3 linked regions of the Tribolium castaneum genome follow. The protein of the gene in region 3 interacts with the protein of the main gene of each other region in a pairwise test. Links are inferred from orthologs where the notes say so. Each region holds a gene or a part of one and is shown on either strand. Other genes may lie near its edges.

Region 1 (3,219 bases), on a different chromosome or scaffold from region 3:
TTTTTCTAAAAATCACCAACTTTGTGTATTTTCTAGTCAAAAATAGTGGACGTGCCCAAATTCTACTGCATTCGCAGTGACCATGATTTTTATTAACAATGTTTTTCGGGACTGTACTAAACAAACTCAGTAGACTAAAAATTTTTAGAGATAAATTAATATGTTCGTTTAATTTTTTATAATTTAGGAAGTAGATTCAACTAAAGTTTGAAGTTATGTTCCACCTTTGTTCATTTCTTTTACTCTCAAAACAAAAGGTATTTTTCCTTTATTAGGAAGTGCTCTTACATTTACAATTTGGCGCCTTTACGTACTTTTATCTTTTGCTGCATTATTTTCTTAATTTTGTAAGTTTTATGCTTCGCTTTACGTTTAACGTCTCTATGTTCTCTCAATCTCTTATTTTTGTTCTCATGTTGTTTCACTTACCTTTTCTACACTTTTTTTCTCAGAAAAATTTGTTGCCGTGATCCGGGTTCGAACACCCGACCTCCCCCGCCGTAAGTGGCGCTTATACCACTGGGCCACCGAGGGCCCCAGGTACTGACCGACTTTTGCAGATATTTTAACACAAACTTTTTAAATAAATCAACATTATAAACTATACAGGCTGCTCCACAAGTAGTGGTGAGCCTCAAAAATGTAATATTAATTTAATAAAGCCATTGTAAATTTTCTATGTGTTTATTTACTTTATACTGTAAAACTACATGTAGCATGTAACTTTACGTCATCGTTCTTGGTTACAAAAAAGCATTACCAATATTGCAATTTCACAGTGAAACTTTTTCCAGTGTTTAAAAGCTCGCCAACGCACTAAAACAGAAAATTAAGCTTAATTGATGCAAAAACACAAGTTCCAGAAAGGTGCTTAGTCCATGACACACCACAGTCTGAGATTTATGAGTATAGCGAAACTCATGAACTTTTCCAACTTTTAACAGATAATAAAATTTTAATCACCCCTTTCTTAATAGAATGATAAATTGCAGTAAATGAAAAAATAGAAAAAGGACAAACAGGTCGGTGACTCGGCGACAAACTCAAAGCACAATTAATGAATTTTTAACGTGCTTAATACCAGCTTTAAAGTGACAGCAAATAGAACAAGCAGCTTGCAATTACACAAGTTTCAAACTGACATAATTGAATATTACAACCGGAAAATATAACTTTTAAGCGTGATAGTGCCGCGATATTGTGCATTAGTTAATGGGTGATGGATTATTTCTCTGGGGCTTTACTGTCACACGTCGCAGTGCAAAGCTTTTACTCCGGAAAAATACGAAAATTAATTTTTAATTGACAAAGCGTTGTGTTATCTAAATGGGGCCTTTCGGCCAGGCTTAATAAAGTTTCAAATGAAAACACTCGCTTTTTTATTATTTACACTACAATAAAGTTTATTGTCCCCATTTTTCTCTTAGATGAAGGTCAATTTGGAAGAAATTTCGACATTCATGTACGTCTTTATTGTCCATAAACCGTTTTTGTGGTCGACTTTTAAATTGCATATTCGAAACGGGGAGTTTACGTCCCTTCGCTTTGGCATTAACGGTTATGGCGCAAACACTTGAAAAAGGGGAAAGAACGTTTTTTAAGTAATTAAATTTAGCGCGCCTGTGTCGGTAAAGTCGCGCACTGTCGCGAAAATCAATGCCAGTTCTGCGCTGACAGTTCTCGTTCTAACCTAAAAAACTAGAAATTTTCGTAATGTTTCCTGCCTTGGCTTCAAAATCGTGATTAAATGGATAAACCGGCGAGTCTTTACGTAATCGAGGGCGATTATGGCCTGGTTTCGCTCGACGTCGGTTGCATCGAGTCGATTTTCTACGCCCGGCTCAAGAAACTCCCCGTTGAAATAAAGCTGCAAAACGGCGTAAAATCATGTGCTTTGTACAGTGCGCCCAGTCTGCGGTGCGGCAACGTCACGGTGACCCAGTTCCCGAAAATCCACCAGCACTGGAAGAGCCTCCACGGCGACCTGGACCACAGCCTCTCTGCCAAAGATTCCAGCGAAACGCTCGCGCTAATAAATCTAGTCACGATGAAACTAAACCCGGTTCTGGAATTCCTCTACTGGGTGGACCAGAGAAATAACGAGGAGTTCATCAGTCGGTGGTTCATGAGCGCGCTTCCTTTCCCCTTCAATTACTCGTACACCAAGCGCAAAAAAAGCGAGGCCTTGCAGCTGATCGAGACCTTGTACCCCCTGGACAGCGACATGGAGGTGGTCAAGGAGTTCGTCACCAAAACGGCCACCACGTGTTTGTCAACCCTGTCCACGCGGTTGGGCAAAGCCAAGTTTTTCTACGGGGATTGTCCCATGACGGTGGACGTTGTGGTGTACGCACATTTAGCCCCCCTTGTCAAATTGCCCTTCCCTACCAATGATATTCCAGCCTTGCTGTCCATGTGGCCGAATCTGACCGAGTTTGTTAAAAGAATAGACGCGAAATATTTTCCCGATGTTAAAAGGGAAGTCAAATATTTGCAAACTGAGAGCAATAATCGGCAAAGTGATGATGATGTTTCCTATCTTTCCGTTTTTATCCTAGTTGTGAGTGCGACGTCGCTTGTCGTGGGGTTTGCGGTGAAAAAGGGGTTCATCAAATTGTCAAATTTTTTTTAGTTGTTCTTAAGACTGAACTGGCTGCCAGTACTGTTAGTAATTATTGTTTTTGTAAATGTTTTGTAATAAAGTGATTAGAAGAAAGGTGTGTTTTATTTTACCTCAAACAAAAATCAGCCCAATAAACTTTTTAGTTTGCGAAAAAAATAATTAAGTAGTACATTATCGGGTCTAATAATTTTTGTATAACATTTTTTTCGAAATTACTTTTATAATTCGAAATTGCCATTTTTTTACCAATTACGGTCTAAAATACAAACTGACCTTTTATCAAAACCAGTAGTTTTTTTTGACAAATAACAAAGTTAAATCAACAATTGGGAACAATCGTAATTTCACAAAAGTCGCAGACATTAAAAGGACAAGAAAAGAAACAAACAAGTTTTTTGCTCAGTTTTAATCGCCTTATGAGATTGGTCGGTTTTACAGTTGGGAGTGCAATCCCCTCCCCGATATCCAATGACAAACGCTTCAATCGTCTTGCAATTTTTTGTGCACCAGATAAACAAGTAGGAGGTGATTTTTATATTTTTATTGGTCAATTGCTCATGCCTGGGGCAAATGAGAACCGGTGTAGGGCCGGTCTT
Region 2 (3,573 bases), on a different chromosome or scaffold from region 3:
TCTTACTGGTCTAAGAGAAAACCAATCAGCGGCGGTACTGGTGATGACTCCTCCTCCCTAAAAACAAAACACAACACCTCCAAAAAACAGCATTTAAACATCGCACCGGAATCACGATCGGAGCGATGTTTCCGGTCTCGTTCCCTCTCCTTCTCCCGTTCTTTCGTCCTATGTGCCTCTCTCTCCCTCCTCTCCTTCCGCTCCTTATCCTTGTCTCTCCTATCCTTTTCCTTGTCTTTTTCCGACCTGTGGGAAATCAGAATTAAAGGCCTCAGCTTCGCTTCGGGTTCCGAACCTATGTTCCGATCGTTCCCGTCGTTTCTCTCTGTCACGCTCGCGCTCTCTCTCACTTTCACGGCCTGCTAGACTACGACCGGAGCGTCTCTCCTCCTTGGCGGTTTGAACCACAGCTGTGATTTCCTCCAAGGCGGATTTTAAACGTGCAAAACCCACGTGTTGTTTGCCCATCAAGTGGTCGTCTATCCTTTGCTGGGCGTCGCCGACTATGAGAAAAGCCCCACAGACTTGACACACTTCCATTTGTTTTTCCTGGGCCGCGGCCAACTCAGCCGTGGCGTTCCAATGCCTAAACAACGAAATAACGCGCGAATTTTGCAAAAATTAGGGGAATTACCCATTTTCGATTTGTTTGCGTAATGAGTCGCGTTCTTCCTTCAACTGGTCGCAAAGTTTCATCAAACCTTGGGCTTGCTCCACGTTACCGTCGGTTCCAGCCTGCTCTGCTTCAGCCTCAAGACCGTTGATTCGCTCGTTTAGGATTTTAATTTGTTCTTGGTTTTTTTGCGATTGTGCGGGTGATATGGACGGGAGTTCGGTTTTCCCGCTCAGGGCTAGTCTCATTTTGCCTTTTTGTATTTTACGTTCGACTTCATTGATCATGGAGGAGCAAAAACGGATAAACTCCTCCTGGTAGTGGATTTTTCGGTGGGGTTTCGCTTGTTGGAACATTTTTCGGATTTCTTCATCGTGGACTTTCGAACACGCGCCCAAATCAGCTCGCGTGTTCACGAATAAGTCGTGGGGGCAGAATTTAACCATGAAATACTTGCAATACTGGGGGCAAAAGTTAGTTTGACGGAAAATGGTCAAATTTGTGACACTCACTTCAGGGTCCTCCCAGTTCAATTCTTTGACTTTTTCATTGGGGGCGACGTTGCGGTTGCGCCCCATTAACTCGTCCAAGAGCTGAGCTGCCGCTAACACAGCCATTTTTTGTTTGATGGCCTTGAAATAATTTTGTTTTTGTCAGGTTGGTCGTGGCGTGGCGACTGTGGCGTCATCTCACCAACGGAAAACATTTTTATTGTAATTTTAACGCAAAACCACGGATTAAAACTATAATAAAGTTGTCCAAGTAACAAATTTCAATCATTTCGTCCACATTTCAGCCACAAATTTAGAAAAATCAGCCTGGAATATGTAATTTTCGACTTTTGGTGCCAGCCTCTGGAACAAAATTCCCCAAATTTCGAACTCAGCTGTCATGTTGACAGTCAAAACTTAGGTTAAGTAGAGTTTGAAATTTAGGATTATTTTTTGTGATAATGATACGTGTAAGCTGGCCCAGTCCAACGTGATAGTTAATTGATGGAACCAAACCGCTTGCACCTGTTATCCGAGGACGAAATGGCCAGTTCCAAGGACTGGAGAAAGGCCTTAAGGTCGCAGCCCGCTTACCGCATAGTCAATCGGACCATACGTGGCCAAACCCAGTTCATTTCAATCGTGGCCTTTATCGGCCTTTTTGTGTTAATCCTCCTGTACATGTTTCCCCGTAAGGGGGCCACATCTGGTAGCGTTCTCAGGAGTAGTACTTACAACTACACGTACCCTCTAACTAGTCCAATTAAAACCAGTTCAATGCATACGTTCCGGATAGGTGTTATTGCCGATCTGGACACGAATTCGAAGAGTGAAACGGAGAAGAATGTGTGGTTTTCGTATTTTATGAAGGGCTATCTGAGCTATAGTCCTACGAGACGGACGGTTGTGGTTACGTGGGACCGCACAAGTCCGGTCAAGTTAACTACGAGTTATTCGTTGAAAGGGAGAGGGATGGAGTTGTCCGAGTTGGTGGTTTTTGACGGCAGATTGCTCACTTTTGAAGACAGAACTGGACTTGTGTACGAAATTATTAATGATAAAGCAGTTCCGTGGCTGCTTCTTATGGACGGGGACGGGAGGTGAGATAAAAAAAATCACCCTGTAGCGGTCGCTGTATCAAAATTATAACCACCCTGTATTAATTAATTATTTTTTTGCAGAACCACAAAGGGCTTTAAGTCGGAATGGGCGACCGTAAAAGACGAAATTTTATACGTAGGGTCCATGGGGAAGGAATGGACGACCCCTAGCGGGGCCTTTGAAACAAACAATCCCATGTATGTGAAGGCCATAACACCCAAAGGCCAAGTAAGTCCCTTTTTTTGCTCAACGTGATGTTGCGAATTTATTCTTTTTTAATGTTGATAGTTTTTAGGTCAGCCACCTAAGCTGGGTGAACGAATATAAGCGAATTCGGGAAGTTCTGGGCATTTATTGGCCCGGTTATATGATCCATGAGAGCGGGGTTTGGTCTGACGTCCACAGACGTTGGTTCTTTTTGCCTCGAAGGTGCAGCAAAGAGCAATACAACGAATCATTGGACGAACATAGAGGTTGTTCGGTGTTGATAAGTGCCGATGAGGATCTCTACGATGTTAAAAAAACACAAGTAATGTTCAGTGCTTTCGTAATTTTTTTTTATTTAATTGTGTGTCTAGATTTTGAATTCGAAACCAACGAGAGGTTTTTCGAGTTTCAAGTTCCTGCCATCGTCCGAAGATCAAGTCATTGTGGCGTTACGAAGCGAGGAAGTTGATGGTAAAACAGCGACCTACATTACCAGCTTTACGATTCGAGGGGAAGTCCTCCTTGACGATCTCCACATAGCTGATTTAAAATACGAGGGATTGGAGTTTATTTAGCATTCCCGCAATTTTGTAAAATATTGTACATTGTGTATTAATTTAAATAAAAAATTGTAAATACGACTTGACTTTGATTTCGTTTACAAAGGCTAAAAAATATAACTTAGAGACTTCCAATCGAAGAGCAAAACGGTTTGTTCCAGTGAATTCTGCGTTTTTTTCTTAAATATCTATAAATATCTTAATATCTATATCGATTTTATGAAGCACAACATAATTTTGAAATTTTAGTTTTTCTTATTACTCTCGCAATAATACGCTATTTGCGTATCGTAATATCCAACAAACTTCTATAATAATTACACTAAAAACCAGGGTAATTTAGTTAATTAATCAATCTTATTTAAAGAAATAATTCGGCGACGTTGGCGTTTTTATAGTTTTCAAACAGCTGGGAGGTGCTAAAAAAAGTTGTCAAAAGCTGATTGAAGTGTGGAAAAAATACACAGTTAGCACTATCAAATAACTTTTATATTTTTTCTCCAGTACATTTCAACTTTTGTTGAAATGTTAGAATTAGTCGACCGATGACCCTACAAAAGGAAATGAATTCGAAATAAAAATTGAAATCATAAAATGACAT
Region 3 (4,282 bases):
AATTTATTTACAGACAAGGTTGCAGAAAATTAAATTTTTTTGTTGGGTTGAGAGAATTACGAATAAATAAATGCAAAATTGTGTTTAGTTCCGAATCATACATGAGATTATTGTTTTTTAAGTCAGTTAATATGATCAAAGTTAAAAAAACACTTAGAAACAACTGAAATCACTTGACAAAATATGTGGTTTTAAAACTAGACCTGTACGTTCAGAAATATAAAAAACAAATTAATCATAAGCCGTTTATTATTCCCAAATTTCGTAATTAAAACAAGGCAAAAAAAATAGTTGAAAAAGATTAATAAAACATGTAGTTATTAGTATGTTAATTGCTTCTCAACATGAAAAAAATACCCCAAGCCTTGTTAGAAATTAAAAGACACACTGGTTAAGTTTTGTCAAAAAGACTTGCCGTAAAATAACATTTTAGAACATTGTTGGAAAAATTTTCATCAACAATACCATCAGAAGATTCAAAATAATCCTTACTGTTGATTTTTGGTCTGAGCCTAAAATTATAGTCATAATGGCACTAGCTCCAAATTTCTAAAGGAACCTGCCGTCTTGTATTGTTTCCTTTATCGGCTTATCAATTTTGTTTTCAAACTCTGAATACCCACATTGTTTCAGGGATTCAACAAAGTCATAAAAAATTGTCTCAGATTCCGACTTCAATAAACCGAATAAAATCATTCTGTTATTATGTCGGTAATCATCATCCTACAATGTTTCTAGAAATCAACTAGTTACTAAATTAATACGAACCTACAGTGTTTATACTGGCAATTAAATTGTTGACTAATGGGTCTTTTGTGGAGAGACTTTTCATTACATTTACTAAATCGTGGTCCCTCACTAATTCAACAAAATGTTGATAAATGAAGTTTTCCTGTTCGGGCAACATTTTCAACATTTGTTTAGTTAAACTCAAGACGTTGTGAAAATAAACTGGGAAAGAAAACACTAGAGATAATGGTCAACAAAAAAGGGCATAAAGTTGAGCAAGTTATACTAACGCATGCATTGGAAAAGTAAGTCAAAATATTTACTAAAACTAAGAAGATGCATTTAAACCACTTTATTTAGCTTAATTGGTTCACAATAGCTAAATGGTAAAACAAATTCAAAATTTTAACAACGTATAGTTGGTTGCTTAGGCTGGGCGCGGTGGATAAAAAATTAAAAACAAAAATTCGTCGCCCATATATCCCATTATCCCCATTTCAATTTGGCAATAACGGCAATGCTTTTTTGGAGTGAAATGGTGCACAAATTGAGAGTTTCTGTATAAGAAAATAATTTTGTGTTAAACTGAATCCCAACCACAAATTTTGAGCCAATTCCAAGAGAAAATTAATTTCGAAAATTGTCATTTGTTGCTAAATATTTGTTTTTTCGAAAATATTTTTTTCTGATTTCAAGTTTTCTACGTGTCTTTGGTCGGTATATCAGAGTCCCATCTTGCCGTCAATTACAAGACGAGAAGTTCTTAACCTCAACAAAATTTCTAAAAATTAATTCCAACAATTTCCCCCAATTTAATGTAGAAATCGGCGCCTGCCTTTGCCTTGAATTTCTCTTTATTTTTGCAGCGTTCCGTTGAAAACCTGCTTTTCGTATTTCCTTGCCTTTTTGTAAGTACCTTCCGCATAACCAGAAAATCTCATAAAAGTGGCTTCGCAGTGCTCCCTATTTTGCAACACGTCGCCTATAACCATTTTCACTCCATTCCTTTTCCAAAATGGAAAATTCAAATCTACGCAAAAAGACTCTAATCTTCAACGTCCTGGACTTCTTATCAGGTGAGGTCGGCGCTTCCGACCTCTCCGAGGAACGAAAGGAATCAATTGAGGTGGCAATTCAGTGTCTAGAAACCGCTTACGAAATTTCAAGCGACGATCGCCAAAATTTAAAAAAAGTTGATCTCCTCGCTCAAATCCGACTGAACGATGCGGTGAGACCATTAAAATATTCCGGCTTGTTGTTTACATGTTTGCTTAGGGGGTCCAACAAGAGCAGGCCCTCGAGGCGGAGCGCCAGAAAAATTTGGGCAACACAGCGATGAAAAACGGCGAATATGAGGAGGCTGTGCGTTACTACTCAATGTGAGTTACGGCAAATTTTGGCAAATTTCTGAAGTTGTTTGCAGGGCTATCGAGGCAAACCCCACCAACCCGGTGTACTTTTGCAACAGGGCCGCGGCCTACAGCCGCTTAGAGAACAATGAAGAGGCTATCAAAGACTGCAAACAGGCCCTGGTTCTCGACCCGACTTACGGCAAAGCCTACGGTAGACTGGGCATTGCCTATTCGAACTTAAACCAATGGGCCGATGCTGTGCGTGCTTACGAGTCCTCCCTCAAATATGACCCCCACAACGCCAGTTACCAAACCAACCTTACTCTAGCCCGCGAACGCCTGTTCGAGTCGATGGGTAAGAGTTAAAAATTACGATATAAAATTGAAATCTAAGTTCCAGAAAATGCAGCACCTCCACAACACCGCCCACTTGACATCACGCAGTTCATTAACAACGAGCAATTTTTGACCATGGCGCGGGAAATGATGGCCAATCCCGACTTCCAAAATATGTAAGTGCCCCAAATACGAAAAACTTTGAAATAATTATTCATTCGCAGAATGTCTGGCATTATGGCAATGAGCCAATCGGGGGATACCAACTTTGAGGCTCTTTTTCAAGCGTAAGTATTGTTTTTTTCACTTATTGGCAATAAGCAATAATAAATTACTAGAAATAATAATAATAATAATTCTTTATTGGTGGTATATGTTTTACGCAAGTCACAAAAAATACATAAATACATACTCATAAGATATTAAAACTACATTTAAAAAACTCATCTCAGTTCTACAAACAATTAGCTTTTAAACAAATTTTTAATTTTTCCCTAAAATCGACCGGGAAAACATTGAAAAAATTTATTGCATCGTACCGGGTACAACTCTTTACTCTAAAGATCCTGTTATGCAAAGGTATAATATTTTTGTTCCTCCTTGTATCATGGTCTTGAAATTCTTTGTGCCTGATATATTTATTAATATTTTTCTTAGTATAGAGAAGAGAGTTTAAAACATATAAAGATGGCAAAATAAAGACTGCTCTACAATCAGCTTTGTAATTTAAAGCCGCTATCATGTGCACTGCTCTCCTGTTAAGGAATGGTTTAGCAAAAATTTGAAGGTAGACAGAGAATGGCAAAACGAATCGACTAAGTAAATTTTTTGAATATCGAAAATGCATAGTACTCTCAAAAAATCGTTTTAAAAAACTTTGACTTGAACTTCCCAAAGGTCCCAAAAACCGCTGAACTAGAATGGTAAAAATTAGCGTGTACTTTAAAATTATTGACAAAACGGCAGAGGTAAATTAATTTCTTGGTCCACTTCATAATTCTTTTATTTCAATTTGTGTTTTGTTATAAAATACAAAAATGTTTGCTTAAGGAAAAAATTAATTGTTAATAAACTAGCATAAACCACACAATGGCTTAATATATGGATTAATAATTTTTTTTAAATTAATATATGGATTAATAAAAAAAAATTCACATACAAAATATTGCTAAGCCATTCCCTAAACCCCGTATAATAATAATTAAAAAAAATAATTCACTGACCTTTATGGCATCTTCGGCTACAAGTTGTAGAAGTCCCACCGCATCATCTTCTTAAGCGGACTTACTGGAATGAAAAACAATAAAATTAGAACAATATGCCTTAACTTAGTTGAAAATATTACAAATACTACAATTTTAATTTTTCGAAAAAGGAAATATTGCAGACTAACCCTTTAATCCGGATTGTTTCCTCCTTTTCTCCCTGGGAATCCATTCTATCAACACTAACACTAACACCACTAACCGCGATCAACGAATTTGAAATTTTTAAACTGCAAATTTTTCGATTTTATTTATGAAGCGTCCGATCGCGACGACAACGAGTAACAAACTGCACATAATTGTGTAAGAATATGGATAAAACGTCACCAAGAAAAAATGTAATCTGAGATAACTACTAATTCTTGTAAGGTGAATTGATTGTTACGACTTCGTTAACGTTTTTTTCATATACCTAAATGAAAAATATACAGGGTATTTAATCGTTGAAACGTATTGCTTAAAACTTATAAAAATAATCAAATCATTTTGAATACAAATTCACACAATTGTGCCTTGAGCGTTGGAAAGCGGGAAATTCTTTCCCGTTTTGTAATTTTGTAAGTTGGGAGATTGGGGAGATTTGTGTTTGGTGCAAATAAA

What was found.
Region 1: the proteins of small glutamine-rich tetratricopeptide repeat-containing protein alpha (region 3) and metaxin-1 interact in a two-hybrid assay, tested with the Caenorhabditis elegans proteins (2 studies listed by BioGRID). The link is inferred for Tribolium castaneum from reciprocal best matches to the Caenorhabditis elegans genes sgt-1 and mtx-1.
Region 2: the proteins of small glutamine-rich tetratricopeptide repeat-containing protein alpha (region 3) and soluble calcium-activated nucleotidase 1 interact in a two-hybrid assay, tested with the Caenorhabditis elegans proteins (2 studies listed by BioGRID). The link is inferred for Tribolium castaneum from reciprocal best matches to the Caenorhabditis elegans genes sgt-1 and apy-1.

What each region holds. Positions count from the first base shown.
Region 1 is NC_087397.1:2,268,632-2,271,850, reverse strand, and holds metaxin-1, read left to right. Parts: upstream 1-1,628; 5' UTR 1,629-1,747; coding exon 1,748-2,632; 3' UTR 2,633-2,716; downstream 2,717-3,219.
Region 2 is NC_087399.1:566,658-570,230, forward strand, and holds soluble calcium-activated nucleotidase 1, read left to right. Parts: upstream 1-1,472; 5' UTR 1,473-1,608; coding exon 1,609-2,204; intron 2,205-2,285; coding exon 2,286-2,433; intron 2,434-2,500; coding exon 2,501-2,734; intron 2,735-2,783; coding exon 2,784-2,987; 3' UTR 2,988-3,050; downstream 3,051-3,573. Other genes in the region: luc7-like protein 3, read right to left, coding at 26-57, 107-246, 296-586, 635-1,074, 1,126-1,230. UniProt on the Caenorhabditis elegans protein: Hydrolyzes UDP and to a lesser extent GDP. By preventing the accumulation of NDP, may promote the reglucosylation of incompletely folded glycoproteins in the endoplasmic reticulum following the unfolded protein response.
Region 3 is NC_087403.1:5,039,129-5,043,410, reverse strand, and holds the start of small glutamine-rich tetratricopeptide repeat-containing protein alpha, read left to right. Parts: upstream 1-1,429; 5' UTR 1,430-1,637; intron 1,638-1,686; 5' UTR 1,687-1,744; coding exon 1,745-1,957; intron 1,958-2,004; coding exon 2,005-2,108; intron 2,109-2,152; coding exon 2,153-2,436; intron 2,437-2,475; coding exon 2,476-2,593; intron 2,594-2,641; coding exon 2,642-2,704; intron 2,705-4,282.